Styela clava: one gene and its partner. The protein of the gene in region 2 interacts with the protein of the main gene of each other region in a pairwise test. Links are inferred from orthologs where the notes say so. Each region holds a gene or a part of one and is shown on either strand. Other genes may lie near its edges.

Region 1 (16,920 bases), on a different chromosome or scaffold from region 2:
CGCTATCAGATAAAATATTGGACCAGTTTTTGTTTGTTTTTGCTTCATTCTTTGATTAACTTTTCATAGAAATTGGTGAATTTTCAATGGTTCCAATGGTTTCAATCATTTACATTCTGATACATAATTCTGCTTATACTTTGTTCCGTTTTGAAAATACTTAAAATCGAGACTGGATTATGTAATCTTCTACGACATGTAGTATTTGTACAACAAAAAATTTACTGTCGACAGCTATTTTTGCAATAACGACCGTACAACGAGGCAAACTGCTTCGGAATGCGACACGGTAGAGTTAACAGCAATAGAGCGATTAGTGTACTCGTCTATGATGTCACAAATATGTCAAGAAAATTAGGATTGTTTGGTAACAAAGGCTAAAATACTTGCAGAAAACCAGTTTACGCTTGCCCGCATTGGGCAAAGATTATGGGATGAAATGATATCAGCAAAATGGGGTAATATGGGGTTTTTTAAGTCCCACCGGATACCCATAATTGACCACACTGTGGGGCCAAAATTATCGCTTTGTCAAAAGTTGAAACGGAAAATAAAAGGCTCGAATTATCTGATGGAAATGTAAAAGATAACCGAATAGGTATCGCCACACATTATACATAGTCTTATTTTACTTGTTATATTTACCCTTTTATATTTGACATACTACACATTCACTCTGAATAAGGCTCAAGAAAAGCAACTACTACTATATACCATGTTACTGGGTGTGATTTCATATAAACAAAGTTTTTTAACATGGATGTGGACTGATGGCCGTGACACATTTACTCCAAAGAAGGTTCTGAACAAGTCATCGCTACAATACACAAGGCTAGGTACTAGGTTAGATTTCAAAAAAACAACTTTGCTGTGAAACTGAAATTGCAACTGGTACACATTCATCCTAAACGAGCGCTGTACATGCAATTGCTCCTGCTTAAGGAGCCAGTAGGTTAGATTTTAGTTAAACAAAATAATTTGGCTACACAACTAGTCTTGTGACTGTAGCTTGAAATGGGAGAGATACTTTTAACAAAAACTTATATCGTCGCCAACAGATTTTAAAGCATATTTACATATCGTGGGTAAATAGCATTCATGGCATTTCGCGGTTAGGAAATTTATAAGACTACAGAAAATGGTCACAAAGTAATCACATAAAGTCGGATTCGTGATGCGTTCTTGGCTAATATACTTTAGATAAAAATTTTACCCAAGTTCTCAGGGTAAAATTTAAAAAGAAAATAATGGTTCACCAAGTTTTTTCTTGCAACCAACCGACAACAAACATCCATATAAAGCCAAGATTTGAAAAGGCGTTCTCAAGCCATGAAATACCAGTAGCGCTTAGGTTCACCGAATAATTTGGTCATAAGCGTTGGATCTCCAATGATTTGGTTCCTTGTGTTTTGTGAACTTTGAAAAGTAGCAAAAATATATACAGATGCCAAAATTTCAAGGCGCGTTTCGAAGCTTAGGGTCGCGGTTCAACAACTTAGCGATTTTCAAGTCGTTTTGCTGCTTGTATATGATGTGGAGCATTGCTTTTGTTGAAAATAATAGTACGTATCGTTCTTATTCATAAATTTACGCGGTGCACGGTGAGTGCAACCCTGGCATTTTTGACCAAATAATGAGAAATGGACGGTTGTTCTGAAATACGATCGACCAACTTAAGCTTAAGATTGGGATGAATATAAGGTCCAAAATTGCCAATTGGATGGCTTCCGTTTTGAGAGCGCTGGTAGGTTATACAGATTTTGAAATGAAGCATTTACTTTCTAATCATTTGAAACAGGCTCCCCAAAAATATTTTTATCACCATATAAATACAAAAACCGAAAATTCCGATGAAACACTGTAATGACTCGCTTGGGTATCAACTCTGGTTTCATTTAGAATCAAGTCCCGAAGTACTACTTACTTTTCTTTTTTACCACTCGGACTGAGCTAAAAGCAAATATTACTATCTTCTACAATTCCAAAAATGGGAAGGACTCGTATGTTAATTTACTATTCGGATTAATACTTCTCATCTTACAAACGATTATCGTGGGGTCTAATCCGGAAAATAAATAAATGAAAATTGGTAAAAGTGGGGCGAGGGATGCCGAAGGTATTGTCTTCCTGGTAGATAACGTATTTGTTTGTTTGTTTTATATCAGTCCATGTTATTCGTCTACAAATGTTAAGGTCGCGGTTTAAGTGGCTACCATTAAGTAACAGTAGTTGAGAAATCCCAAAACTATTGATTAGGAGTATAAGGAAGTAATTTGTTCTCTTAAATATGCAATCAAATTGTTTTCATTCTAGATCATGGAAAGGTAATCAGGACTTTTTTTCATAAAGATAAATTTTGAGAAAAACATAATACTAATATCAGATTTACAAATATTTGAATATAAACTTATCAAAACTCTTAAATTTCGGATTTTTTAATAGGCGCTTCTATCTTTTCGCTGTATCTCTGAATAAGGCGGGAATGTTTTTAATCTATATCTCCGAATAAGGACCTGTATAAGAAGCCACCATCACACAGGAAGATACTGTTCTTCAAATGATCATGATCTTTCCGAATTAAAACACACATTTTATCACACCTTGGGTGAGGTGGAACCCGAGATATTCAACCAGCGACATAGTTAAACTAATTCTCCAACCACAAGCAATTGATAACACAACGATTTGAGATAACTTTAGGACTCTCCAAGGGGCGACAATGGCATTTCAATTTACCGAAATTTTCTTAAATTGGACGGAAAACATAGCCATTGCACCTATAATGTTACGATTTAACTTTAAGGCTCTTCAAAGGGCGACAAATGCATTTCAATTTACTGATTTTTCCTAAATTGGATATAAATGTTACAATCTCACTTTAGAACTCTCCAAGGGGCGACAAATGCTTTTCAATTTACTGAAATTTCCTAAAATTGGACGGAAAACATAGTCTGTGTGAAATATAAATTCAAATGTCTACAGAGGTCATAACCTCTGCTTTGATCCCGGTAGTGTCAGTTTCCCAAATCGTTTAAATCGGCTTCGGATATTGTAACATTATACAGAATATCCGAAAATTTAAATTTGTTAATTTTCCCATGGAACTTATTAATGGCGGTTTTCACAGGGTCCTTAAATAGTAACTTTTAGGTATTTTTAGATCAATTGCTTCCAAAAAAAGATATTTTGTGTAATTGCTATAATTAAAAAATGACCTAATTACAATTTTTGTAGGGTAAAAAACTTTTGCCCTTAACCTCTTCTTTACGTAAGGCCTCCTGACTGCCAAAAATTGGGGCGTGTGTCGGAGAAACGACAAGTTTCGTGAAAACATCTAATGCATTTGAAACAAATAACTGGGTAACTATATTCATACCAGACGTGAACGATCGATAGTTCATGGGTTCGCCATATAACTGAGCTGCCTCATCGACTTTTCTTTCCCCGGACTGCAAACATGGTCGTGGCCATGAATTTTCAGAGGTCATTTCTAATTGCCAAGTTACATCGTATCCGCCAGCGAGTCCGGTCGGAAAACGTGGGTTTTCAAGAGTCTTATACATAAGTATTATACATAAAAATGCTTTTTTCACATTTCAAAAAAGGGGGTCCACACTCAACATACCCCCTGAATACGCAAAGATTCCTATATTGTAAGGTAACAAAGTAAGACAAGAATAAATTATTTCTACTCTAACATTCAACCGATTGGATCTACTGTATTATGAATGAGAATGATGTCATAGCTTTGGGTATGTGCCAATATTCAAAACCTTAAATAATTCGCACCTAGTTAAAATGTCATTTAAATTAAAATCCCTAAAATTGCGAATAATTATACATCCAAATAAAAATTTTGGTGAAACACGGAAATGCGTTGCCACATTTTATTGCCTGGGAAAACCATTCAAGGGTGGTCTGCCTTTTTTTGTAAAGAACAATTACCATGTTCAAGTTATTCGAACCTGGCTATTGTCAAGACTAATTATTACCTACATGTATAAAACATAAGGTATTAACTAGATCATGATCCCTCTCATTTTTATATTACATTGGATTTCCTGTGTCCTTGGCTTTGTTTGAGGGCGAAATTATCTGTGAAATTTGATAGTTACACTAAGTAGCAATTAGAGCCGGTTAGAAGTTTTTTTCTACAATGTAATGAACTCAAATTTAGAATGAATGTGAATTTGACCTTGCATACTCAGTACAGTCAATCGCTTTCGACAATTTTTCAAGCCCTTCTCTTCGAACAAGGGGTTGAGGACTTTTTACAAATTTCAAGTCACTTTAAGGTACTGATAAATAGTGACTCGCGTTCAACTCAAGTCGAGTCAGTGACTCGAGCAAGCACAGCAGTGAAGTATATATTACATAGGGGTTTACTTCCTCCACAGGAAGGGAGTTCGCCTTTTTATTATTTTTTTTGTGGAGGGGGGATACCGGAACGTAGTATGTGTACCAGGTTAGGGTTAGGCTACCCTTTAATTACCTACTTGAACTTTACTTGCACATCACACTAGCTCCACTTAAAACTCCATTTAAAGATTGAACAAATAAAGTGTTTTTATGCATCGGAGGTATAAAGAGTCCAAAAAGATGCAAAAGGGGGATTTAACAAAAAAATATGATAAAATTACTACGTAATACCAATAAAACAGACAATGTAAAATGATATTTTAGATAACACCATCTCTTCTTTTATTCACAATGACGCAATTCCCTTATTCTAACTCAGCAGGGATGACCAACCAATGCCCAGTTAATTAAATTAATTAGGGGCAAATCTTGGCAAGCGGTGCGTGGGAAAACATTCAAATTGCGACGATATTTCGGCCTTAATTACGCATAAATCACCAATCTGTTGCCATGAACGGTAAACACGCCTGAGGTAACAATCAGGGCGATACTTATTACAAGGGAGATTTTCTAAAAACGATTTTAAAATTTATTTCTTATAAATCATATTTAAAAATAGGTTTTGAAGAGAAAAATATTACATTTTCACCCAATTAAAGGATTATTCATATGTAAAGGTGATATTCCTGATATATGATTATGTTAACAAGTTTAAAATGAACCAATTTGCTTTTAATTGTGTAATTACTTGAGTTCAGGGCGTCGATATTACATTCAATTCAAATATAGCTCGGATAATTTGTAATAAAATGTCAAATTTATCTTTATTCTTGGTATGCGACAGATATGTTATATGTGTTCTTTTCTACAAGTGTATTTAAGCGGGAAATTGTTTACCTTGTTCGTGGCTTAATACGGCATGATGACGTAATGCAAATACGCAATGTGACGTCACTTTGGTTTTAATTTTAAATAAATGAAACAATACTCAATGTGACGTCACTTTGGTTATAATTCAATTAAATGCAGCCATACGCATGTGATGTAACTTTGGTTTTAAATTTAAATAAATACAACCGACTAATCGAGTTCCTAAACACGTTTCATTCGAGTCCGCCCAACTTGATACTTAGACGATCAAATAAAGTTTGCTAACAAATTCAGTTTCGAATCGCCAGTCTTAAAGTGCGCAGGCCAACAATATTAATTACATCGATTGCTATTATTTCTACGTGTTTTACTATTCTCACTTAACTGTTTGAAAACCGAGTGAGGTTATCCTGGACTGTTATGAAATATAAAAAAAATTATAAATGAGACACTGTCTTTCTTATCTTGCAAACACGAGAGCAACATTAGTCTGCAGTCTCGGCTACTTGAACTGTTGTTTGTATTACTGTCGAGAGCGCCGCAATCTCAAAAGTAAGAAGCATCCAAGAACGCAAGATCTATTATGGCGTGATATGTGACAACATGTTATGTATAGTTTCAGTCGTCGGCAGTAACTTTGGTCATAGCTAAGTTGCATTTGTTTCTGAGCAGTTGCGTATCTACGTAATATTACGAGCGTGGCAAAGTTGCGCCCCCTTGATCGTTGACTGACATTTTTTACGACTGTTGCCGAATTGATGTCTTACACGTTAGTATTGAAGTTTCCAATTTAAAAATATTTTTTTAGGCATTTCACGATTAAAAAATTTCGCCCTTTTGCGTCCATATCCAAACGGCGGCCATGGGCCATGGCTGTCATACCCTGTATACGCCATTGCTTCTGAGTGAGTGCTCGTTACTCTACATTGAACAAATTCTCTTGAAAAATAAAAACATACTGCCATTTACATAATCCAGCTAACTAGCATACACTGATTTTGTCGCATATAACAACACGTTTCGAAGCGAAAACAATACTAATATATGACTATTTAAAAATGTGGACTATTATTATTCAATTTCAGTCAGGCAAAATATCCTTACCCAGCTTTTAAGACTGAAATTTTATTTTGGCGCAAAAACATGTTTTTTAATAATGTTATTGTTGCTAATTTATAGAACAAAAACTGAAAAATTAAGAGTGCAACAGGGAATTAAATTGGTAATTTAATGAACAATAATTACATCATAAAACAAAGCCGGTTGTTATAATTTTTAATTGTTTGATCATAACACAACAATTAGAAGATAACACGTTGATAAGTGTGTCGAAATCGCATTGTTTTGTCATAAATGTAACACACGACACAATGATCAATCAATGAAACCGATCGTTCTCATAATTTTACCTTTTTCGAGCTCGGACTAGAGATATAATAAAGAAACAAACCTAGTTATTTCTAATACAGCTCGTTTGATATTCTCCATTTTATTTCTCCTAATTTATAGTGTATTTAAATCAAGACATTAACATCCTTATGGGGCGGAAATCAAATAATAATTTGGTATATAAAGCTTCAAAACGTTCATTATATATAAATTTTGATTTACAACTTATACATTGTATACCCCACCATTATTTATTATTATATTCTTAACGGTTACGGGCATATCCGAAATATGCGTGATAGGCGTATGCCGCGGCGTCTCCATACAGTATAAAGCGTTATATGATATCACTATGGCATCAGGTTTTGTACAAAAACTACATTTTATTTTTGTATTTTTCAATTAATCTACTTCTCCCCCGTAGAATAGTGTCTGCTACAATAATGGTTATTGTATGAAAAAGCGCACCATATGCTCGACATATGTACGGTGTTAGCGAGTGGCTGTTGCCAAGCTTATTCGCAACAAGAGAGCTTTCTCTTATACAGCACCTAACCTAGTCTACTGTGGGATACGGTCAAAACATTTCCTACTTCTGTGCAGCGCGGGAGTAGGCCGAGAGAGGTCAAAGAAACCGCTACATATAATTTTAATTAATTCTGAAGAGGTCACCACACAAAATTTTGAAGTGAAAAACGAATTACATAGAGCCCACAATCTTTAACCATATTTTACTCGATTTAACAATACGTATGGACAGAGTGAATATATGGTACCAATCTACATTCGAATAGCTCCCTCGAAGAGGGTAGTTATGCTCCCATGTAGACAGCACGTTAGGGATATATCGACCAAAACGTCGTATGAATGGACCATCTGAAACGGCCGACTTGCAGACAGCTACTTCGCGTAAACCAATTTATCCAGGCAAAATTAGCAGTAATGGACTCATTTAACTCCGGGAAAGACTTCTAAGTCGATATTTTCGTGAACAGTTGTCCAGAGGTTTTTTTATCTTTCCGGCTTTTACAGAAACCGACAAAATGATTAAACTTTATCTACCGACCTTAAAACATTTATATTAACCCCTGTTACACAAATCACCAACATTGCTACCGATTTAAAATCGAATAGTTCGACTTTCTTGTATGTAAAGGGTTGGACGAACCATGGTATCTCACTATTGTTTTACGAAGGACAAGCGCCGTAATGTCTGGTCACTTTTAGATGGTAAATATTTATGCGCTGGTGATGATAACGCGGTTTATAGATTTAACATTTACAATAATGATCACCGAAGTTTCAGACTCCTTCGAAACGATATTTTAGCTCAAGATTTGATATGTATTCATTAATGTATCACATTTTTAAGAGTTGGAACGTGACCGCGACAGGAATTTGAAATGGGAAAATTTTTTATATTTCGGCGGGAAATCAAGCGCCTAACTGCCGCCAGTTAGGAACACGTACTCGACAGAAATGTTGTCGCAAACTAACGATAAAAGCTCTAACGTTTTAGCAAACAAACTGTATTTAATCCTCTCTTTGCAAATTATATCTAAGGAAACGGTTTATAGTGCAGTAAAACGCTTTATGGGCGGAAATTTTTATTGATAAATACCGGCATTTCACGAATATATATTTCATACTTCCGATAATAACCCAATTTTGGCCAAAAAGCGCGAATTAGGAAAATCGAGATGAAATATATCAAAACTGCTAAATCAGATAATTCTAAATCGCCAAGATACTTCTTCGAATGGTAAGACTGGTAAATGGTTAAAGGGTTCATATTAATTGGAAAAAGTGGAATGAATTATAAAATCGGGCTAAGACAATTATTTTCTAAAACGCACTTACGCTTATTTGAGTCACAAAAACGAATAAATATGAGAATATAGTAATCCCGGGAAAGAGTGGAATCGTTAAGACGACTAAATGCGTCGAACTACAGTCTTTTGTCGGCTTTCAATTCCAAGTCGGGTATAAAAATAGAAGCAGTTTAATGTTCAAGGCACATGGACTATCTGAATCTGTCTTAAAATAAAATTTCTAAAATTCGACGATCGAAAAACATCGTTTTTAAAAATAACGTGAAGCGCGGATTTTCTAACTGAACTTCGCATTATTCAGATAGTAATTAAACTATTTAATTAAATGAAATATAACACTAATTCATAAAACTATTTTACTATAGAATAAAAATTCAAAATCTTACCTAAATGGTGAAAGCTTCTTGCTGTGTTCACTCGGCTCGCAATCTCGTCATGGGGGAGATCGAACCCGGGTTCCCAAGTGGGTACCAAGCTGTGGGGGCCGTCGGAATCATCCCCCATGTGGGCTTTATAGAGGTGTTGCATAATCCGCGGAACGGGCATGTCCCCTGAGGGAGTCGGGCGACGAGTAAGTCCAAACATATCTAGTAGTTTCTTTTCGAATTCGTTGACGATCGCTTCCTCGGCTTCGGGTGTGTCTGCTTCCGCCTGTTCGATTAAGTTCGCCCGGCCAGCCTCCGGGAGCATCCCCGATGTTGTTGAGATTATAATAAAAAGTCCAATAAGGTGTATTTGGAAATGCATTGTTCTATTTGTGGTAAAGTATTCCCAAAATATCTTACAGATCTCGGAATATCTCAAACTTTGATAGATCCGAAAGGACAGTATAATATGCAGATATATATTTTCGCTTTACATTTATAATTAGAAATCTGAAAAATATAAAATGATGTGTAACGAAAACGCTAATTCTTACAAATTATATAAAATACATTTACAAAAAAAGTAAAAATATATTAATTGGATTTCCGACCAAAATGGCGTTTAGAACAGTCAGTTATTTTATATTGAAAACATTCAAATCAAAAAAATATTATATATAATCCTCACGCTCAAAATATATACCGAGATAATCATACCACACTTTCTTAACCGCGAAGCAAAACAACAACACAGCGATCAGAAAACCTTCACCGCACAACTGGTGAAAACTCTCACGTAAGGTTGGACAGTGTTTTGATAAGAAATGGAATTTAAAAAATATGCCTTTAGGCGACTACCAGTCATTCAAAAAAAAACTTTTTGCCGTTGAAGACAAAGTACCACTGTATAAAACTATAGTACAATCTATTCAACTTCCACTTAAAATCATTTCGTTCGTTTATACTCCTTTCTCTGTGAGTTTAACAAGAAAACTACTCTTAACAAGAATTTCAACGATAAAAATAGCAAAGTATAACTTCAACTGTGTATCTCAAAGTACCAAATTTTATCCACGCGGCAAAAAACGAACTGTATAATGGAAGATTTATTGGAAAAAAATTAAAGTATCTAATCCATGTCCACTGTCAGACAGTATCTCCTAATGATTGTATTCCATAGTTTATAAGCTTTGATGTAGGTATATCACATTATGGTATAGTTATATCCCTGCATGATTTTCATTACTGAAAGATATTCAAAAGCCTTTTCTATATTCTAACTCAACTGTCTATTCTTCTGTTCCATCGCCGATGTTGTGGCGAAGTATTCCTGAGTCTTCTCAATTTATAGTTCTGATATTCCCAAGGCCGCGAACACCAAATTGAATGCTCATTTGAAAAATTGAGAAAGGAATACATACGGTAGCTAAGTGTGTGACTAACTAAATTAACGCCGTATGGAGCAATGCCGATTGTCGAGTTGCGAGATACGACGAGAAAAAAGGCAGCACACAAATATCTCTCTCTATTATTCAAGGTGTCTTACAGATCGACCATTCGGAATAATTTGCTAGCAATGCCCCGAACAAGAATTGTAGAAGATGGGCTTTTCTTTTAAATTGGTAGTTTGTCTTTGAGTGTTTCGATAAGTTTTTGTAAGAAAAATTTCGAAGTGAAACACGAATCACATAAAGCCCACTAACAGTTTTTAAATAACTATAAGTAATAGCCGTCTAGCGAAAAATGCAAGCTTTCGCCACTGAAACTTTCAAAGCAATTAGTTATTGTGAAAAGCGATTTTTTCATAATAACAGGAAGAAAAATACCAACATAATAGCACAGGGAACAATATGTACATCTTTGCTCTAAACAAAAATTGTTTCGCGCGTACTTTTAGTCCAAAAATTTGAGCAGTCAAATTATGGTTTCTTTAGTTCATGATCGGTATTTTGTGTATGATTGACATTTGTGTGCTGTGCCCTAAAAAACAAACCCGCTTTTCTATAGTCCAAAAGTTCAAGTTAGATTAACTTTTATTCGACAATGGAATCTAAAATTATTTCAAAAGCATATTACAGTGAATTTGGCAGGGGTTTCTAATGCGTTTATTTGTCATTACTAGAGTTTTTGATTTGGTTAGAGAACTTAATAACGTGAAAGATACAATAATAGTAATAAAATTACTTTAAAAATGTTAATCTTCTAGAATTAGATTTATTCTAACTTTTAGGTCCTTCCAGATAATTAAGAAATCTACTTCTTAATGTCTGAAAAAACGAAGAAGAAATATGACAGATAAAGACAATTATGCTTCGATTCTGAAACATAACTGATAAATCGCGCAGTTTCAGTGCCAATATTTTCAACCGCTAGATGCTGCGATTAAGCACATTTTCGATTGTTTAATCAAACTGTCTTCTATCGACTATTCATGAATGTTTTTTCGCATTGATAAGAGTGTAACATACTCAAAATATGAAGAAAGTGTGTTAAAAGTATAAAAATTGGGAAACCGGGATGACGTGAAATCTGACATAATGATGATATAATCCAATTAATAATATTGGCCTAATCAGTTTTTTTTCTCTCGCGCGCGATAAATATGAAAATTCCATCTCTGTCCTGATTAACCTTGTGACAAGAAAGTCACTACCGCGGGATGTTGCCAAATTAAAAGTATTGATAATTGTAAACCTATTTTTGGACCTCCCTTTATTAGAAGGGGTAGGTACTGCACTTTCACTGCGCGTGATTTTGGTCTCTTTTTTTCAATTTCGTTAATTCCACTGGATTAAAGTCTAGTTCGGAACGCCACGCAATAGTATATTATCGCTTACCCGTTATCTATTTGATAGTTGTCTATTCATTTTTTTTTTTCAATATGCATTTTAATCATCAGAGATAGATTCCCAGTCCCCAAATTATTAAATGTATGCTTATCAATAAATTATCATATCTTATCAACACTATTTTCATACTAATAAACTTATTGCTTGATCTAATCAGGCGAACCTGATCATCGCGAATCCCAAATTAACAAGCAAACCATTTACCACGATGTTTCTGTATTGGTTCGTAATCTTCAAAGACCAATCGGAAATAATATTGCGTTATCAAAATCAATTCACAAAAGATTGGCACCGTTTGATACATCGTATCAAAATGCTTGCACAACAGAATTACGAAGTAAGTAACATAGTTAAATAGAAGTGATGTCACAGTTGACAATGCATCTTCTTGTTATAGGCCCAACACTGAAAAGATCCAAATATTATTTGCTTTTTCTCTAAGATGTTCATTTAAAGTTATATTGGATTAGCGCCCTACCTAATGACCTATTAAAATCTTAGATAATGGATCCGCATGCGCGTAATGTAACAATTCTAAAGACACATGAGCGTTTTGAATGGCCAGAAATACCAAGACAAACGTAATCCAACTATCTTACATTTGTATTATCGTCTTCAGGCGATCACTCTTTCCTACTTAAACAGATAACACATGCACAAAGCTTTAATATATATATATATATTCTTAGTATAAGTTACTGAACAGACGTTCTTCAGATATCTCTCAACTATACGCTAAGGTGATATATACGTGTATAGCAATTCGCCCGATTTTAGCATCTAAAAATTCTCTGGCTTTGTATATTAATAGTTCTTATTGTGCTTGTAGTTCTCATTTATCATACAATGAAATTTATTTATACCTAGAATTGTTCTTACTATAAAATCGGACGAAATTTTTGGACACCATGTATGTATCCCTGACGAAAATAACTGAACAAAAGTTTCGTCAAATGACAATTCGTCAATTCAATATACATATATAACAAGAAAGAAGATGACTATTCTAAACAAGTCCTGCTGCACACTGACACAAATTAACTTCTGATATTTACAATTCAACTACCGTACTTCAAAATACTCATCTCAAATCAAACTTTTAAGTACTCTTTCCTGCTTAAATAGATAACATTGAATGTGCGTCAAACTACAATATATATATCCTTAATGAACAGTAATGATATTGCACGTGATTATAAATACAAATACACTTACAAAGTGCAAACATAATTAGGTAAAAAAAAGCAATAAATATCACAGCGGGAAATATAAAGCGGATAAGATAGTTCGTACGAAAGTTAAGCGGACATTTTTCTGTCTAGAACGCTATTTGCTAGAGATATTATACAGTACACATAAGAAAATTATTCTTTCAATACGTACTGTTGAACAACATCCCAGCGGCTGGTCAACAAATCTACATTTTTGTTCCGTAAATTATTTGGCTGTCTGGAACTTGTGAGCGGAGGAGTACCAGACAAACTCTGACGACGATGTGAACGTACTAGCAACACGCTGGGATGATTGGTGATTGCGCACGAGTCTGTAGTGAGCCTGACAAAAGATTTTCGTGTGCGACTGCGCGCATCGTAACGCGATAAGATAGATTACAGATTTAATGTTATTGATAGTCAGATCGTATTTTTCTGTCCCTTTGACTTAAACATTGCCAATTTTTGTAGCAAATGATATTTAACTATAAATTAGAGTTAAGTGAGACTAATTGGAACTTTGTAAATCACGCGCTTCCAAGTAGTTTAGCAGTTGCTGAACTATGAAGCAATCTATTTCTATAACGTTTCGCCCGCATACTATTATTTACTCTTATACTATGCTTTTACACTAGTGGATCTCCAAATGCAAGGATGCAGTAACAAGACTCTCGCATTATATAAAACGATATTTAGGTGACTTTATGGAGAATAAGGTTTCCATATTTATTCCAAAGAAGAGGAAAGACAATAAAACTGCCCGATCATTCGCTCTAGATTCAACATGGGCAAACAACGGCTGGGTAATTTAATCTAGCCTGATTTTGCCACAACCAATTTAAAACCAAATTTTGATGTTCTTTTTTCAAGAATAGCGCAAGAAATTGGTTGAGATTTCGATTTAATTTAGTTTTGGCACGAGGCTTATTTTTTTCCACTTTTAATTTTGTAACACTGTAAATATTGTTCATAAAATGTAACAAAGCTTTCCGACTGGACATTGTATACCCTATTTGTTACGCTCTTAGTGATGTAGTGTTGTTTCTCATTCGAAGAAAACTGTTCGGTATAATTTTTTATAATCTTTCATTTCGAACGTGATTTATTCCTACTCGGAAACGAATAATCGTGAACCGCACGCCACCCATTTTTGTGGTACAGTGCCAAGATGGCGTAACAAGGCTCTGAGACCCAATTTCTTTGTACTTTGTTTTTTTCTCCACAACCCGATACCTCAAAGTTCAAAAAGTCGTCTATCTGGCGCGTGGCCAATTACCGTTTCGTTTATCTCTTTCAAAATGTCAATAGTTTTCCTCAAAACACAGTCTTATCTTTAAAATTTGATATCACAAGTTCAGATGTTGGCTTTCTGGCACGAGGCCAGATAATGCCACCTGTACCGATGCCAATTAGTAGGCAGGACACAACTCAGCATCCAATTTGCGTGTGACCTGACAGGATTTAACAGGATGGGGTGATCGGCGTAGAGGTATGTATAGAATAGATCAGTGGCTTCAAAGTTGATTGACCAGGGTCCAAAATTAGAAGCGGAAGGACATTCGTTTGGCACCAAGTTTGGCGGTCCGTATTTAATCGTTACGCGGGCCGTAATCTTTACACGGGCCGTGTGTGGCCCTGGCTCCAAGGTTTGAGAACCGCTGGATTAGATCGACTGACGAAAGATCTATAGAAGCATACATAGATATATAAGAAATACTAATGGAATTATGTCAGTTATTATAATTATAACTGATGCGTACGTAAATTTGGGAAGCTAATTACCAGGGAATATGGGAATCTTCCAGGCTAGGTCATATGTCACCTATATATGTACAGGTCTTTCACTGTTATTTTTTTTGTAATTCATTTTTCGTGACGTTCAGTACGAACAAGCATTCACCGACGAATAAAAAGCATCTAATCCTGATTGATTGCGACTGTTCTAAGAATAGCCTTTCACGTATAGCCGAGTATTCGCGGCCATGCTTTGGCAAAAGCTGTGTAGCTCCAAGCGCACCAGTTATGCTATTCATAACACTTCTATTTATAGCACAATTTTATATTTAGTCAAGTACTAGAAAATCTATTTTGAGCAAATCTTACAGAAAAGTGTACAGCTTTAACGTGTCAGTGATTGCTTGAAATAAAAACTCGTACGTATTGTATATCTTAGGATTTAGAGCAGAGGTGTGCAACCTGCGGCCCGCGGGCCAAATGCGGCTCATATAGAAAAATTGTGCGATCGGCAAAACGAGTTTTTGATTTAATTTAATCTGGTGCGCGCGAGTAATTTCAACTCTCTGCGTTGCAAAAGATATACCTGACGCCTATGACGTTTCAATGCCTTAACAGATGGCTTAAAACTTTTGTGCCAGCAACTACTAGAAAGCCTATGTTAAAAAGAGATGAGGCCCGCGGATTTGCCCATTTTTTTGTATCTAGCCCGCCTGTATTAAAGGCTGCACACCCCTAAATTTTAGAGCATCAGCGGTTGTGTTCTGCGTATATTTTTTGTTATAACATTTCGCATTTGTCCTGTCCAAAAGCATCTAGTTCAGCCATCAATCTTAATTCCCGGATGTTTTGTCGTTCGATATTTGTTTGGTATTTTATTTCGGAACTCAGGTGTTAGTTCATGTTGTTGTTTTGCTGGCTTTTCACACTTGGTGTCTTGCAGGGTACGGAAGAGTTACAGGGGATTATGGGCTGATATCAACAACGCGTTATGTTACATAGCTACCGTGTTTTCCCGAAAATATGACAGGGTCTTATATCAACTTTTTTTATTTTGTTTAAAATAACACTAAGGCTTATTTTTGAGGGATGTCTTTTATTTTCAGCAAAAACAAAATTACAAAGTAGAGAATTACGAGGTTTTCAAATATACAAAATCTGAAAATCGATATCCATTTACTTATAAATAAAACATTTCTTGCTATCGACTAGGTTTAAAAACATATTTGCGTTATCAACTGCTAGGTCTTATTTTAAGTGGAGGGCTTCTATCAAATCATATTGAAAATTCATGCTAAGCCTCATTACTGGGCAATTACCGTTTGTTACGAATTGAATTGAGCAAATAATAATTATTACAACTGCCTAGCGTTATTGACACATACTTGAATAATTTTTTAACTTCCACTATAATATTATTTCTGCTGGATAAACGTGCTAGTTAAAAAAGAACAGATAACAAGTACAGATTTCACTGTGACATTTGAAACATTCCACTTGACTCCGAGTTGCACACTGCTGTATGCAACAGCGCATACTCAAGACTATTTTCCAAAATATTAGTGTCCAATACTCCGTGGCAATCAAATAATAAAACGAGAATATCGGTCAGAGACCGAAGACTTATCGATTGAAAGTTAGGGGATCCCCCAAAACAGCGCTCTTACTCCATAGTGACACTTTGTGTCTAATTACTAATTAATTAATAACTCGCTAATTATACGACATAATTCATCCAAAATCAATAGGCTTCTGGACCGACATATGATGAATGCACATGCAAAATCTGGAGCAGATTCAATCTCGCTTTCGTGAGATATCGCGTGCATCTAACAGACAGACAGACAAATACCTATCAACATACTTACCGATTAAAATCGATAAGTAATAATCCTACGTAAAACTGAGTATTCGTCTTTCAGAGTATGAACATTATAAAACATTTTATTTTATAAATAACAATAAAAGTTATAACATTATTAGATATTTAAACATAAGAATTAATATTCGGTACTAAATATCAGTTAAATCATAGGAAAATTACGTGACTCATTTTATCCCTAATTTTTATTAAAAAAATGAATAATTTAAAACTTTTCAACCCAAAATTTTAGGTTAAGCCCAGTGCATTACGATTATTAAACGTCATTTTCCAAAGTGTGCCAAGTAGTTTTGTGGTCTATAATCTTTTCCCGCCACACGAACAAAGGAATTGTCTCTGTCATTATTATGTCATAAAACGTATCATCAATTTCCGCGGAAATGTTCCCGCCTTTGATTTTCTCTTGTCTTTCATTCTACGTAAACAATT
Region 2 (17,788 bases):
GCACCTATGGAAATTTTTGTTTTACGGATATTTGAACCCATACCAACCCTAACCCATGGGTTTTAGCACCCGCATATAGATTGAACCCGCGGATATACACATGGGTTCAAATGTACGGTCACCGTTACATTATCATGGATGTTATATCTGATCATATTTTGTTATTATTTTTGAGGAAACAGTTCCATTTTTTATTTTCATTCTGCAATTATTAATTGCCTCATCACTATTTCTCTCAAATTTCTTTTAAAAAAAAATTCGTTCACAGTGATAAATCTTTCATCATGTCTTGTTCTATGGCACTATTATGGGTTAATGGGCATTCGAAGATCACAGTTGATCTGTACTGTTTGGTACTAATGGGAGTTACAGATCGCGATCCAGAAAGTGTGATTCAAAAGCAAAGTCGTGTAGTGCGGTTGGCATCGTCTATCTTTGCTTTGTCTTTAGGTTTTGGAGATCCAGCCAAAACAAATAATTATCTTCTAACACTACTTTGATTACAGTTCAAATAAAAATAGGGGACATGAAATCAACTCGAGTCATTATTATAGTCGTCTATCTAATGATAGATACCGAATAGTTAGCAGATTGATGTTTAGCCAGCTCTGAACTTGCAAGGCCGTGTGTGAATAGAGCGAATTGGTTGGGATTTGGCGACACCCGCGATTTATGGTAATAAAATTGACAGGAGGTTCTTTTCTTGTCATTGTTGTAAACTGCTTGTCTGGGGAAGTCTATGTCAGTCAGACGAAACGTCACAGAAATACATTTGTGATAGTGTGCAGCAAGACTGCATAGACTGGTTTGAAAGTTGGCAATATTTTAAAGAAAAATATGTTTTTTCATTTAATCAAGCAATCTTGCTGGGAAGTTAGGCTCGTCCAGTTAATGTTTCCCAGAGCATCGATTACCTTTTTTTACGTTAACAAAGACCGATCAATAACAATCAAACTTTTTGCTGCTGTTTATACACTATTTCAGTAAACAATAATTAGACCCGAAAAAACTGCGGAAGACTAATCTAAAAATTAGCTATCGGTATTGTTAACGAGATGTGGCTAGATATTTTGAATCAAAAAGATCAAACGATTATAATTATAAACATGTGCAGCATCTCCAAGCGTAAAATTGCCAAATCAATAGGCATCAAATTTTTCTGAAGTACTGTGGTAGTGTTTTCTGGGGTCAAGGGTCGGGAAAGCATTCATTAAGACTAAGTTGCCAGGCGATCACGCCCTAGTTTGAAGAAAGAGAAAACGTAGTTCACTCACCGCAGTGGCTTCTTGTATGCAAATGATTCCGATAATTACGATGAATAATCTGAAATAAAACAATGAATGTTTTGAATGCTTTAGTAATTTTTAAACGAGTTTGACTATGCAAAATAATTTACCGAATGATCTGAAAAATATTCCTATTTTTAAAGCAGTCAGTAACGGGATATCCTGAACCAATAAAAGTCAATAAAATAGGCTTTAAAAAGGAAATTGAATAGTATGTAATTGCACTGTCTTTGATTTTGTTAACCGTCAAAAAATGTACAAGTATGTATATTACACATTGGGAATATGCCAATTCTATTTTGCAATGATTTAGATTTTAGAGGATTAAACCTTGTTGCAACCGAACCAATGTATCTGTCCTACAACTGTCATTGCCTGAATCCCCTTTCTGGACCAGTGATGGATGTAATATTTAGGGGTGGCTTCACTTCTTTAGCAGTTGTGTATGCAAATAGTTGGAAGCGACGGAATTTTGAAACGATAAATATACTGGCCAACAGAATCGATGAATAAATAGGCCAATTTATATTGCAACGTTGTATAATTGTGTCAGTTTAAAATAGTAGCATGTCCAAAACAAACGACTGTTGGCCACACAGGCGCAGTAAGATTGCAGCAGAGGAGAACAAAATTGTAATTGAATAAAGCACACGGTGAGCAAATTGTTCGTCGTATGGACTATTCTGTTATGACGCAATATATATGATCCCTGTTTCGGCTATATGATGACACAATAACAAGTCAGACTGCGGCAACCAAACGGCGTGATGGATAACTTAAATTTAAGCCCCTTAATAGTTTGATCGAGGAGCTTAGCCTTTGCAACTAATAAAACATCGGCTCTGCTCCATCAAATAGGCTTCCCTTATAAGCAACTTTAATCGATTCTTCCCGCTTTCTACGCACAATTTATTTGACTGATATGCCGGTAAAATGTTTATACTCCAAGCAAGCTACGCCGGTTACACGAATATGCGACGCTAAGTGTACGATCGAAGAGCGTTCAAGAATCTAAGACGGGGAATGTATCAGAAAAAGTAGACTGTTTGCTTAACATAACTGACTCAAGTAATAAGTAACTCTACCAATAGTCACAGTACGACAAAATCGACTGTGGACAATCTCATTTATGACGTCATAAAAGGTATTGGTAATACAAATTTTTGGTAACAGTAAAAAAAAGGATGAACATATGAAGTTCTATGGACCCCAGTCTTCATTTCGATAGTCTCTTCCGCATATGACTATTGGGCTTCAGTGTAGACGGCAAGTTTTTACACTACGACTCATTTATGCATTTGCCAAATTTTAATCCCATTAGTTATATTACTTCTGTGCTCACTGCACTAAAAATGACATTCGGCCATTGTCACAGTGGGAGGTGATAATGAATCGCGTCATCCAATCTAATGTAGCTTTCAAGGATTTAAATATTTGAAAAAATGCCTGAGATAATGTCGCGAAATTATGCAACGTAAACGCATCGGCAATGGTTTGGAAATATTTCACAGTTCGAAATTGACCACATTTGTGAATATTTCTATGATAAGTGTGAAACCTCCCGCACGCTTGTTGGAAAGCTACAAGGAAAACCTCAGTAATGTAAACATATACGACGCTGAAACCATGTTTATAAACATTCTATGATTAAGGAAAATACTGGTTATTATTATACTCTGCCAAGTCAAACGGAATAAAGTAATTCATTGAATATTATGGAATCATATACCGTGTTTCCCCGAAAATAGAACAGGGTCTTATTTCAATATTCTTTCGAAAAATAACACTAGGGCTTAATTTCGGGGGATGCCTTTTATATTCATTTATCGAAAACTGGTCAATTTTCCAAAGTCACGTCCATCTTATCAATCACCCTTTGACCCGGACCAATTTCCTCAATTACTGTTTCCTCTTTTGAAGTCCCTTCATCTTATTTAATGTCAAATAACAACATGGAAATAGGCTTCACCTTAACTTACTACTTCAACTACGGGTCAATGGTTAAATTTGTTTGTACGAAATTTGGAAATGTCATCGTTCGTGAGAGTTCTCAATGATTTGAAACGAGTCGTTCTTGTCAGGCGTTTAAAATGATTTTAAATTGCATACATTTCCAATGCGACAATACCGGTTTGTTATAAACTCACCGAATATAGATTCGAAAATTGCAGACAATTTTCATTATATCTAAAAATTGATATTTGATAAGCTCATTTGTAAGATTCAAAACTCTATTCAAACTTCTGAGCACACATAATATGCACTAATAAGACGCAGTTTGAAACGTATATCCATCTACACTTCTAACTAGCGATGTGCAATGAAGCGTTACCCAGATAGCGGAAAAATAATTATTGTGTAACAAAGGATAAACGGGAGCCGTAAACTATGGTCGACGTCTTTCACCAAAAGCAAATTCAAAAATTGATTCATCATTTAAACGCCAATGATGTATTGAATAGCGTGAACTAACACAAATTTTGGTTTTTGATCTATTTTTAGATGTAGCCCATTCGATCACAATTTACGCAATTCATATGCAATGTTATATGCTATTTGCATGATACGTGCAATTTGGTATTCCCGTAGTTGTGTACCAGGTTATGTTTAGGCCATAATTTTATTCCGATTTACCTTATTGTTTTAGTTCTATCACGAGTTCGAGGACTGTCAGTTTTAGCCAAGTGAATATACCTCCTGCCCATAGGTTTCAGTCCATTTACACGACTTGATGTGAAGTAGATGAACAAAATTAGTGACCTCCATATTGGTACACACACTTCTGGAGCGCCCGGAATTTTACCACTGAATTTGAAGTCGGTAACATTCAGTACATTTTTACTCCCAGTTATCGTTTTTGAACACTTACAAAGAGAACGTTTTTAGATAGACCCAATGCAGCACTGAATCGAAAAGGTGCACACTGTTTCCCGCGATAGTAAATTCATGTATACATTCTCGAATTGGAACGTGAACACGAGCTAATGAATGGATAAAAACGCCAAAATCATTGCACGATTCTCTGTACGGTTGATTGTATTTAATAACGTTATAAAATTATAATTCATATTCATAAAAATGATCACAAAGAGGTCTATCGTAAAAAAAGAATTGATAATTTAGGACAATAAATGTAGTGAAAACTCAAAATTTATCGTAGGTTTCCTATGTGAGTTATATTCGTAAAACCGATCCAATTTGATTTATTTATTTGGCGCTCCAGAAGTGTGTGTACCAATATGAAGGTAACTAATTTTGTTCGCCTACTTCACATCAAGTTGTGTAAAGGGACTGAAACCTATGGCAGGGTGTATATTCACTTGGCTAACACAGACAGTCTCCGAACTCGTGATCGAACTAAATCAAAGCATAACCCTAACTTGGTACACGTATTACCATTTATTTTTCATATGTCGATAACTTCATTAGAAAAAACTACTTCTCATCTCAAACCCTATAATACTTCTTTCATTCAACTAATTATTCACATTAGTCACAAAAAAATGAATAATAAATCTACATATTCAATTGTAGCATTTCAATTTTAGACATGATTGTAATATTACTAATCCAATATTCTGGTTACATATTACATTTGATAATTAAACATGTATTATTTTGTAGTATTGTAGTATAGTAATGGACTGACTCAGAAAAAATTAGAAAACCAACGCTTTCTTCTGCAAAATAGTTGGCAAAGTATTCAATAAACCAGTACTGACATATATGTATATGTTTTGCCGCGCTCCAAAAGTGTGTGTACCACTATGGAGGTAACTAATTTTGTTCGCCTATATTACATCAAATTGTGCAAATGGACTGAAACCTATGAGCAGGGGGGATATTCACTGCTAACACAGACAATCCCCGAATTCGTAATAGGACTAAAATAAGGAAAATCGGAATAAAATTATGGCGTAACCCTAACCTGCATGGTATACATATCGCGGGAGTACCCGTTTTGCTAAATCGCATGTATATATTGAACTAATCAAAGGTATTCATCGGATTTACCGTTTTTTAATTCACCCCAAATTTTTGATAAAACTTATATAAATTTATATTAAGCTTTGAAAAACCCACAAAAACGTATAGTATCGTTCAACAGCGAATATGTCTGTTTATAAATAAGTGTAAACCATGGATTTTGTCTTAAATATGACACAGCTCTGGCTTAAATAATTTGAGTTAATTATGATAAGAATTACAATTTTGTTATCGTTTTATTCACGTGATGTTTTGAATTAGGTAATCATTCAAGTTTATGCTTTGGCACTAAAGATTTCGAAATAAACTTAGTAACTATACAGTACCAAGCAACTTCTGAAAGCTTCTGATACATTTGGATTTGTTGGACATGCACAATATTGTGATTATGCCAATTTCGGTGCTCCCGAAGTAAGCGAACCAAGATGGCGGACATCGGAACGTAACATAGGTTAGGGTTAGGCGATAATTTTTTTCCAATTTTCCTTACTTTTAGTCTTATTATCAGTTCGAAGACTAGCCAAGAGCTTCCCGTAGTATTTATAGCTAAAATTATGGCCTAACCCTAACCTAGTACACATATTACATTCCGATGTCGGCCATCTTGGCTCGCATACTTCTGGAGCCCCCCAATTTCTATTCAGCGAACGTTTGTTTGCGCCCACAAAATCTCTTTCTATATATAATTTGTGGATATCCCAATATTTTATTCAATTTGTATACTGCTTGCACCCCTATTCCAACTGCATGTATTTAACATCATGCATTTGTCAACTCGACACTTGACTATTGCGACTTGTGAGCTTTATTACGTCATAAAGAATTAATGCTCAAATGGAAATCACATCAAATTACGAAGCCTGATGATCACATCATGGTTTTCTCTCGCAAAACAGTACAGAAATGTAATTTTTAACTAGCATCAATATATTGAATCTCCAATGAAAACTTGGCTTCTGTTACATTGAAGTTTTTCAGTTTGTATTACTTTACATATTCTGAATCTCATCCTTCTTATTTTCATTGTTATAGCTATTCTTTGCATTAGAATGTTCCATAATAGCAATTAGAATACCGATTCATTCTCGCATAAAATTGGCTACCTATGTAGAGCCTTAATTGTGGAGAAAAAATTTCTAGGCTGCTACATACTGTATCTTTTCAAACCTAGCAACCACATGTTTTCACATTTTGTCAAAATAAATTTTCCTCCATATATGTTCTTACACAAAGACTAATAAGGTATTCAAATGCCAAATATTGAACATGTATTGGGGTGCTGTACTAATGTACACCGATCTTGCTTACTGCTTAAATTTGAATGACATGTTGCAATTGACACTTCAAAACACGTATCCAAATTAACTTCGTTTCAAAATGAAACAAGTAAATACATTACAAACTAACCAAAATATTCTAAAAACGACGCTTCAGAAGTGTGTGTACCAATATGGAGGTAACAAATTTTGTTCGTCTACTTTACATCAAATCGTATAAAGGGACGGAAACCTATGAGCAGGGGGTATATTCACTTGGCTAACACAAACAGTCCCCGAACTCGTAATAGAACTAAAATCGGAATAAAATTATGGCGTAGCCTGGTACTCACTGCGGGAGTACCGTCAAAACTGTTCAAAATATATGAACATATATACGTTATATTCGTGTTGTGAAATATGTCGTTCGTTCACTAGATTATGAATTGTTTCAGCTATTTCATAGCACGGTAAAATTAAAGAAATTTGACTCCATTTTACTTGAACAGAAATTAACATTTTTAAAAATTGGCTCAGAAGTTTGCGCTTTCAGGCATTTGCGTGGCTTAAATTCGACCAGAACTCTACATAGAATTACTTTACAAATTATATCATTGAATCAACTCGAACATTACTGGATGTACAAATAAAACTAGCTTCAAGAAAAAGATCGAAAATTGATGAAACGTTTAAAATTCATCTCATAATGGTACTTACATTGATTTCCGCATGTTGGCTTCCGGTTAGGCCGTTCCGGGCCAATTTCCGAAGATTTCTTGCTTCTTAAACTTTGTGAAATTTCTCTAATTCATTAGCTTTATATAACTGGCCTATTCAGGAAGTTATTGGCTGTAATTTGCTTCGAGCTTTCCTCTATTGAGCATCGAAGCACAGCGCGCACGTTCGCCGGATCTAGAGCTCCTTGGAACGGCGAGTTGGTGCTATTGGCGCCGACTAAAACTATCGCTAAAAAAGATATTATATAATTATTAGGATATTCCTCGTAAAACCGTACACATTTTCGCCTAAAAATTGTTAAATTTTGGTCTAAAATTCTGGAATTTTGGTGGCTACGACTGAACACATATCTAAGCGACAGAGTTTAACACTTACGCCTATCTAAAATAAATAAAAAAGCACTGAAATTTTCCATTCTTGCTAGCAACCTACGGGATTCGGTATCGAGCGAGCGGATCGTCCGCCGCCGTCTCTTTTTTTCGTCACTTGCCTGCGGCTCGGTTGGAAAAATAATAAATAAACAAAGACTCGGAGATGGCCTATTTCTTTAATTACTTGGAGAACTAACTTGTGCCGAAAGGAAACGGAAAAGAGTGACGGTCGTCCAAATGAAAAAGAGAGAAATAAGAAAGTGAGAGAAAAGTGTGTGAAGAAACGAAAAGAGTGGGATAAAACACAAAGAAACACAATGAGCGTAAATTTGAACGAGCAAGGTGTGGCACGCACAGGATAGGTTAAATTTCACAATTTGGCGAAGTTTAATATAGGCTAAGTAAATTTTAAGCGGCCTACCCTAATGTACATTTCGTCTATTGGTGTATTTGGTTAGAATAACAAACACCCACAAGATTCTTTGTAAAATGCTTTTAACAAAACGCGTATAATATTATCATTTCACAGTACCTAGATTCTAGGCTATCGTATATATACAAATAGTTGATTGATTTGGATGTAAATGACGAAATATTTGGCACGGGATATGAATTTGAAATATTATCTTAAATAATCTACAGAGGCTATATTATATATTGAGCCAGCGCAAATTCATTCAATTTGATTTTTTAAGCCCCATTGAACCTCAAAACAATGTCCGATGATTTACTTGTAATCATTTCATAGACAATTTTTCTAGAGTAATATTAAATCATACTTCGCATTGTATCGCATCTAATTTATGCTGGTATAAAATCAAAATAAACTTAATGTCAAAATAAACCCGCTGAGGAGTCTAAATTATGTATTTCAGTGCTTGTGAAATATGAAAAGCATTTGGCATTCTAAAATGTGGTTACGTTAATATGGGATAAAACATGAAACATTTAAGGAGATTTGAATCAAACCGTCAATTTTAAGCGAATTGCTGGATGGTTTGATAGTTGAAAATTTTCATCAACGAATCTATCGCAATCTAAAGCCTTGGCATATACTAATAAATATCTAGATATACATCAAGTTTTCGAATAAGACTCAGTCATGTGTTTTTGGTTCCGGGTCGGGTTGGTTCCAGAAGAATTCACCTGCTTACAAATCGTGAAACAACGTAAAAAGTATTCTCACAAAACGACTCCTCCCAGTATTATAATTTTATTAATATTCCACAAACGATTTGTGTACTTTGTACCTTACGTTTGCGGCCTAAGCAACCAAACTGAATATATTGTTACAGCATAGTTGAATTCTATCAATATCAATATTTTCTTTGAATATTCGACACTAGTTAAAATACCTAAATAAAAAAATCCGCCTTTTAACGCTCGTATCGATTTTGAGTGCATGTTGATCTATTGTATTTCAGATGACTGATGGCTGGAATCTTCCGTTGCAGCCCCAGATAGTTATAACTTTCCGGGATTAGCTTAATTGATAGATAAGCCTTAATACATTTTTTGCTTGATAATTTTGCGACTGTGACGTTCTACTAACATATGTTTTTGATTACAATATCCTATCCGAATCTGATGAAATATATAGTTTTACGCACAATGTAAGCGGCAAGATTGATGAAATGTGACTCCTTGGACATTTCTGGTACTCCCGTTGTCCATCTTTCACGCAATAAAAAACTTATTTGAATTCTAGAGATATGAGAGCATGAGGTTGACTGCTTTCGATTTAGTTTTTTTTAATTACACATCACGGCGCTCCCGCAGTATGTGAACCAAGATGGCGGACACCGGAACGTAGTATGTGTACCAGGTTAGGGTTACGACTTAATTTGGAATATCGAAGAAATCAATTTAGGAAGTTCCATAAATCAATGTTTGTTTTCCGAAATATAAGACAAATATATTTCGGTCAATATTTTCTTTTCTGCTCTTGACGTTGGTCTGGGCGAAATTGAGACTGATCAAAAACACTTCAGGTGCTCGTTATTGTGATGAGAGCGTAATACGGTTTTGCTGAGAAATACGCTTGACGGAATAAAAGTGTGACAAATAATCTGCTCTCATTTGCACTCGTTGGGTTGAACTTAAAGGTGAGTGTTCTGATTCAGAGATGTTAAAACGTCCGTGTTCGTATTCACGATAAAAATCTTCAAAATTTTTTCTGTTTCTCAATATGTTGTTGCATCGTTTTTTTTGTGATAGGTGTTAGTGTTGATTAGGCGGTCAAGACAATACTCATCTTCGTTTGTGATGCCGAATGGTTCACTGGTAAAACGCACAAAAAAGACTGATACATATCAAGTTTGTATACTGCCACGTATTTACCCATGCAACCACGAGGTATTTCTAATCCTCCAGGATGGTTTACATAGGATGGGTTTGTTGCAAACAGTTTTAAATTACCACAAAATACGCAATAGTGTTTAATATATTTATAAATCAAAACCTAAAAATAAACCTTTCTGTATTTTTCTCGACCGCTTGTTTGTAATTAAATTTCCACTGATACTTCCGATATTGTATGAGGATAAGATTATGAGGTTTGCTCAAGAACACGAACAAATATTCCTAAAGATTTCAAGCTGATAAGAGTCGAGTGTTATATAAACAATTCAGTAATTGTGCCAAGAATATCTGCATTTTTTCCGTTTCACAATGGGCAGCATTTGAACATCTCTTGAAGTGACGGTAAATATTTGAGGATAGAGTTACCGTGAAATTCAACTTAACTTTACGTTTATTTGTAGCCATATGCAAACGTTTGATAGTAAACTTCAGCACACCAATGTGAAATTAGTCTTACAAGTGTTCGTTTGTTGGTTTGCAAATTTATCTTGCGAATGCTGATTGCGGCAATGTTGTGGCGTTTATTGGACACGTGGTCGACCTATGGATCGTTTTGTTATTATGTGCTTATTCTTTGTCACAGAAAAAAATCGCTTTTCTCTTTGATTACTGGACCAATGGCTTTAAAATTTTCAGTGCTTAACGATTAAATTTTTCGCTAGAAGGCTATAACTTTCGTCGTTTTACAATGGGCTGAGATTGAGGTGCATCTCATGAAGTGGTGGTAATATTTGAGGGTGGAGTCACCTTGAAATTCAACTCTACTTTACGTTTATTTGTAGCCATGTGCAAACGTTTGATGGTAAACTTCAACACATCAATGTGAAATTAATCTTACAAGTGTTCGTTTGTTGGTTTGCAAGTTTATCTTGCGAATGCGGCAATGTGTTGACACGAATCTGAATAAGTGTTTGAATGGCGTTTTGTTATTTTGGATTGCCTTTTCCACTTTCTACCCAGAAGCAAGTATATACGGGTTAACCGTCGAAATAAATTAGAATCTGGAACGTTTCAACTTCAAATGAATTCAACTTAAAATCTTAATGAATATTCATTCACATTGCTTCCCTGTTTACCGGTCACCTCGGTTTATCTTAATTTGTGGATTGCTTCAATACGCTTGTATTGCCTTTTCGGCGCTCCAGAAGTGTGTGTACCAATATGGAGATAACTAATTTTGTTCGCCTATTTTACATCAAGTTGTGTAAAGGAACTAAAATCTACGGGCAGGAGGATATTCAATTGGTATATCGGAATAAAATTATAGCCTAACCATAACCCGGTACACATCTACGGGAGTACCGAATTTTCAAGTATTTGTGGCTTAGCATTCCAAACATTTGCATTTCAAAATCATCCTGTAGTAATTATAGAAATCAAGAAATGCATTTTTTATCTATACTGAAGAACTTCAGAGAAAATAGTTCAAATTTTTAAGGTCAAAATTCAGGACAAGAAACCGGAAGTTCATAATTAAACATTATGAGTGAAACTTCGTCCGAATTTGTCGCTCTAATTTTGGTATCTTAAATGCTCATTTCCTGAATGTGATAACTTCGACAAACCATGAAATTGGCAATTAAAAATTAGGGTGCCGTTGATAAGGGAATTTTAAACTCTAAACTTTCCAAAACTCCAAATAAAAATTCGCTGAAAATTTCCAGGAATACCGAATATCATATGTACTTGCTTTGAAAAAGGCTTAGTATAATCACCTACGGACACGCAAGCAGCGAATATGATCAAAATTTGTCGTTTAACCAACCCTCATAATCTCATGCATTTGTGATAGTTAATTAATTAATGTACTATTTTTATATCAGATCTGGCAACCGGGTGAGATGTCGTGCAGGGTCCTTTCTTATGAGTAATACATCGTATCGGCTTTCCTCACCCCAAAACAAAGTCTAAAAAGTATCTTTGAAATCTAGGACTTTCTAATTAAAATTTGTCCGAAAAAGAGTTTCACGTCCGCAGAAGAGTTCAGTTCCTCGGGTCAAGGGGTCACGAATCACAGCATTTTCCATCTACGACGCGTATACCCAGTTAGGGAATATTAATTTAATTCAATTATACTATATAGTGATAATAGTAAGCTCATAATTGGCTCCAAAATCAACCAATCTTGCGGATGATCGAAAGTCTAGACATATTGGATGTGATGGATTTTGCACAAACAGTGTGGGTGGCGGTTATAGTCCCATTCATCTTCTCAGTAATGAGTTGGACATTCCTAACATTTGCTACTTCTACTATATATAGTGCAAAAAATAAGCGAGAATTTCGTTTTGTGATTATTCGATCCGCCTATATAAAATAGTAATTCATCTATATCCATAGCGATCTATGTGAATGATTTCTCTTACAAAATACACTTACTAATGCCCGTATGATTTGGTTTCTGCGAGACTAACTACTTATCCTTCTTTTATGCTTTTGTGTCGGTGGATCCGTATATGCATATAATGCAAGGATGCTGTAGCAAGGGTAAAGATAACAATCCTAAGTGATTCAAGAGTTTTGCTGCACACTAACACAAATATATCTCTGTAAAGTTTCGTCTGACCAAGGTCAGACTCATGTATGTCTGAAGAAGTCTGACCTTGGTCAGACGAAACGTTACAGAAATATATTTATGTTAGTACGCAGCAAGACTCTTGAATCACTTAGGATATACGAATTCACTTTGAATTTCGATGTTCTCATTAACTTTGAGTATTGTACAGACGTATATTACGTTGATTCATCAATATTCTCTTTAGCTTCTATTTATCCAGAAAATCTGATTTACTAAAAGTTTATAAAGTTCCTTTACAATTTCAATTTTGTTATGAAGTCAGTTCTCAATATATCTTAACCAGGGTGGTTGTTTTTTAATCAGTAATTGTTTAAGTATTTTTACTTCAATATATGGTTTCGATAAATTGTCTTTGCAATTTTAAAAAATGTATTTTTTTTGTATTTATTTCTTTACAACTTAGACAGAGTCATCTATCTAGTGATTCCAGTAATCCAGTAATTGACAACGAATCAACGAACCCAAGCATTTTACTCTGAAGTATTGCCTGGTCTGGACGTTTACAATGATAAATTGATTCAGAAATGATAACACACTTTGTAAAGTCGACGTGGAGGTCTAATTGTAAAGAAAGTAGAAAGGAGTTTACTAATAATATTAACTGTATAGTATAGACTAATAGAGCAGTGGTTCTAAAACTAACTTGGGGCGTAAATATTCCAAATGATAATCTTCACGTCCCCTCAAAAAAATTGTCTATGCCTCCCTTGTGGGTCGCGTCAACCGTTACCGTTTGACAACAACTGCTATAGAGTATTTATATACTTGGTGTCCAAAAATATTCGCCCGATTTTATAGTAATAAAAAAAGAAAAGTTTTTGTTTTTGTTCATTACTAGTTCTTAACGTGCTTGTAGTTCTTATTTATCATACAATTAAATTTATTTAAACTTACAATTGTTATTAATAGAAAATCGGGCAAATTTTTTATTTTTATTACTATAAATACGGGCGAAATGTTTCAGACACCCTGTATTTTTTAATTTTGTAAATTATTGGCCCGATTTAGTTATTACTGTCAATTCAATTAAATTCATGGGCAGTAAATTATTTCTGGTTTTAGGAAGGTTCGTTACTTTATACAGGATTCAAATCATATTCGGGATGCGATTCGATTTAACCAATCGATAATCAGCCGAACATGAATAGAAAATATTTCAGTATTTAAGATTAAATACACGTGATGAGGCTGCAATGATCAAATGAATCAAAATCATGCTGGGTTGTAAGTGAATAAATGAGCAGTGATGAACATTAGACACTGCTGTTTACACGTCACCACTAGAATTTCAATGTTTATAAAAGATGTTCTTGTGTTTAGCGCTCGGGCATTTGCTGGCATGTATTGTGCATCACTATCAATTTATATAGTTTTATTTAGCTCTTGGCAACTCATTATTGGTCGTCCTAATTTGACTCAGAGGTGAGCTTTCTTTTCTTCTGAAAAGAACATGGAGAAACGAAAGGAATGGATTCCGAATTAGTATTTGTTCTCACATGTTTATCAAAATCATTTCGTTTAACTTGATCTGCACATCTTGGTACAATATCTCTGTAATACAGATATCAAAAAAGGCAACACAACTAACCTTGTTATAGCTGATATATGTTGTAATTGCCATAAAATAGGATATGATTTACATATTTATCCCGGGGGAGAGGAAAGCCGATAAGACGGATTATTCATATGGCGAACCACGGCCTCTTGCCCGGTTACCAGTCCATGTCGGTTATGGGATTAGTCAGCATTTTAGTTTGTTTTCGAAGGCATGGACTTGCATGCGACACCATCGCCATGCATGCGACACTCTTGATGTAAGCCCTATAAATCCCAATATACATTTCACCAATGGCAATGCAATGAAATGTGAATTACGCAATTATAGCAGTAATTTTACATTTTGTTTGCTATCGAATAAACTTATTTGAATAAGGATTCCACGTGTCGTTTTTCAGCTTAAAAGGAAATCAGTCTCGCATGTCTTGGATTATTTTCATTGATATTGTAACACGATCCATGGATTATTCCTAAGAGTAAAGTTGCTTGCTTTGATAACCAGTTAAGAGTTTATTTGTTTGCCTGTCTATATTGTGTTTATAGCAATTTGGTGAATGGAAATTTGAAAAAGTTTATAAAAAGCACGAACACGAGTTTTATCTCCGAAAGTAAAAATTTAGTGTTTTAAAAATAACGTCTGATTCACAACAACAATAAATTAGAATGAATGTTATTACCCCACCAGCAATTTTGTTTATTCTTTTTACGTTAACTAAAGTTAGGATAAATTTGATTAGTTCGCTAAGAGTATTGTCCCATCTCCAAACGTATCTAAACTGACCCAAAATGAAAACGATTAAAGAAAACAAATCAGGAAATCTGTGTGGGAGCAATAACAGGACCAATGAGTGATATTGCGAATCTATTTTACATTCAAATCGGTACTCCCGTAGTGTGTGTACCAGGTTAGGATTCGGCCATAATTTTATTTCGATTTTCCTCAAGCTTTCCGATTGAACTGAGAATATTTAAGTTCTATTACGAGGACGGGGACTGTCTGTGTTAGCCAAGTGAATATACCTGCCCATAGGTTTTAATCCCTTTACACAACTTTATGTAAAGTAGGCGAACAAACTTAGTTACCTTCATATTGGTACATACAATTCTGGAGCGCCCTCAAATCCTTCTCTCCTGAAGCTGATCCCATATATAAAATAAATAATAATAACTTGATCAATAACTTCGCTTGTGCAATCTCACATTTTGATTTCGCTTCGTTAATCTTCTACGTTCGTTTTTGTTTTTATTTGGTGCTTGAGTCTACTTTGAGCTCTTCTTTGGTGGTCTGCTGTTTGTTTCATTATTATCACCTATAACCAGGCATGGCCCGTGGAAAATTAGCTCAAATTCATTCATATGCCATGCGTGGGCCGGAGTATTCGCATAATAATACATCTTAAACTCCTTTACTATAAAATTAAAAAATATTTGTGTTTAGTTTAGTTTAATTCTGAGAAGCGTAAAAGTGAAATGCAATTGAAATGTGTTGGCATTTATAGGCGGCAATGTGTATTGTATTCATTCTATGGTACTCCCGAAGTATGTGAATCAAGATGGTGGACACCGGAACGTAGTATGTGGGTTAGGCCATAATTCCATTCCAATTTTCCTTATTTTAGTTCTATTACGAGTTCGGGGACTAGCCAAGTGACTCCCGTAGTATTTGTACCTGAAATTATGGCCTAATCCTAACCTGATTTACATACTACGTTTCGGCGTCCGCCATCTTGGTTCACATACTTCGGGAGTACCATTCTATTCAGTTGAAGTTATTATATGCATATAATGCTGACATCATTACGAAAGAATTGAATTGAAGAGGAGTGATTTTGCGTCGATCAAATATTTAATCAGAGCATCCCAGAAACTGGAGACATGTTTTTAACTCAAAGTGTGTTGATAGGTTCGAGTTCAAAGCCAATCAAAAACGATAAAAAACTTTGAGAAAATGGAAATACAAAAAACTACAAATTTAAACACTATCCACACCAATGTCATTTAACGATATAGGTGTGTGTCTGAGGTGAAAGTATTCGATAGAATAAGGTCTTCACAGAAACTCACGTTACATGGAGGCGGACTTTTTCGAACAATATAGCGCCGAAAATCTGCTCATACAATGAAAAGTTGAAACTTTACAACATATGATACGTCTTCATACTTTGATCAGGGGTTTGTTTGCGTTGCGACAAGATTTTTGGAATCTCTGCGGCAACCAAAGACCACAAGCAAATATTATAGGTGCGGCGTAATAAAGAAGAAACCATCTATTCATAATACTATAAAAGATGAGTAAATTTGCCAACTAGGCTTTATTATAAAGCATTAGAAATTGCGATTATGAACGATTTTATTACTAGAGGAAATTTAAATCTTTTAATTCTTTTTAACAGCAATGCAAATGCGCAAACTATCAATAAAATTATATAGAAATCGATTCGAATTTTTCACACAGCCAGTGAAATTGCCACTATATCGATACGTATTTTAATTATTGAGAGCACTTTATATGACATCGTGTCATTTTATGATATCTTGTACAATTGCTTTGGCAAATATCAGGCTCTTGTGAATAGGAATTTAATCGAATCGTCAGAACTTTGATAAACAAATATTAGCTGGAAATCAAATTTTCCATGTAAAATGTTTGAAAAAAAGTAATTTTGTAAAGTAAAAATTGCAATCAAGTCTGACTGAATCATTCATTCGTTATGATTGAAGTTGTGAGTGTTGTCGGGAGATTGTATTTTCTGCAGGAAGATCGAATCTATCAATATGATCATTTTATAAGTTAAAAAGGTCAAAAGTCGTTTCCAAAAGTTTGCTCAAGTCATAAATTTATCCCTTGAACTAAATAAAACCATACTATAAAAATTCGACTTCACTTCCTGTATATTTTAGAGTTCAAGAAGGTGTTGCAAGGCAAGAAATACGGTGCAGTAGTTAAACTGTTTTATATCGATCATTCATTTGATGACATTATGAAATTCGAGAAAAATAATGATACTGTCATGTTCTATTTAGTTTGATAAAGCTCTGAATCGGCGTTTTTATACACTTGTTTAGCAATATATATACGACACTAAGGTTTCACCATATGATATTTGAAAATTTTAAATACATTTCTATGCAAGGCAAGCGCAATTTACAAATTTCAATACAACATACAAATTTCTTAAGTAATTCAAGAGTCTTGCTGCACACTACACAAATGACATTATAAAATTTGTGTTAGTGTGCAGCAAGACTATTGAATCACTTAGGATAGTTATCTTCACGCTTGCTTCAGCATCCTTCCAGTATATGAATACGGATCCACCGACACAATAGGAATAGAAGAAGGATAAGTAGTTAAAGTTTCCGCGTTTTTTTTGTTCACAAACTTTCTTTTATTATTAAACCATCAATAGGCACACCTGTTGTCGTTAACCTACATATTTTCATGAGTAGTTGAGTGCGCCCTCTCCAAATAGGGCGCTGATCAAGCGGTGGCATAAAGGCAGGCAGGTAGAGTAACTGAACTCCGTCACTGCGTCAAAGTAACTGTCGTCAGAACTCTAAATATATATAATTCCAGGTGGTATTAAATCTGATGCAAGACTTGTAATATATATAAGTTCAAAGAATATAGAGGACAAATGTTTATAAGTGATA

What was found.
Region 1: the proteins of uncharacterized protein LOC120328573 (region 2) and bone morphogenetic protein 2-like interact in binary tests that used the Drosophila melanogaster proteins (3 or more experiments, as listed by UniProt). The link is inferred for Styela clava from reciprocal best matches to the Drosophila melanogaster genes Col4a1 and dpp.

The regions. Positions count from the first base shown.
Region 1 is NC_135253.1:23,767,966-23,784,885, reverse strand, and holds the start of bone morphogenetic protein 2-like, read right to left. Parts: upstream 9,332-16,920; 5' UTR 9,198-9,331; coding exon 8,837-9,197; intron 1-8,836. UniProt on the Drosophila melanogaster protein: Required during oogenesis for eggshell patterning and dorsal/ventral patterning of the embryo.
Region 2 is NC_135256.1:6,034,995-6,052,782, forward strand, and holds the start of uncharacterized protein LOC120328573, read right to left. Parts: upstream 7,495-17,788; 5' UTR 7,261-7,494; coding exon 7,247-7,260; intron 1,324-7,246; coding exon 1,275-1,323; intron 1-1,274. UniProt on the Drosophila melanogaster protein: Collagen type IV is specific for basement membranes.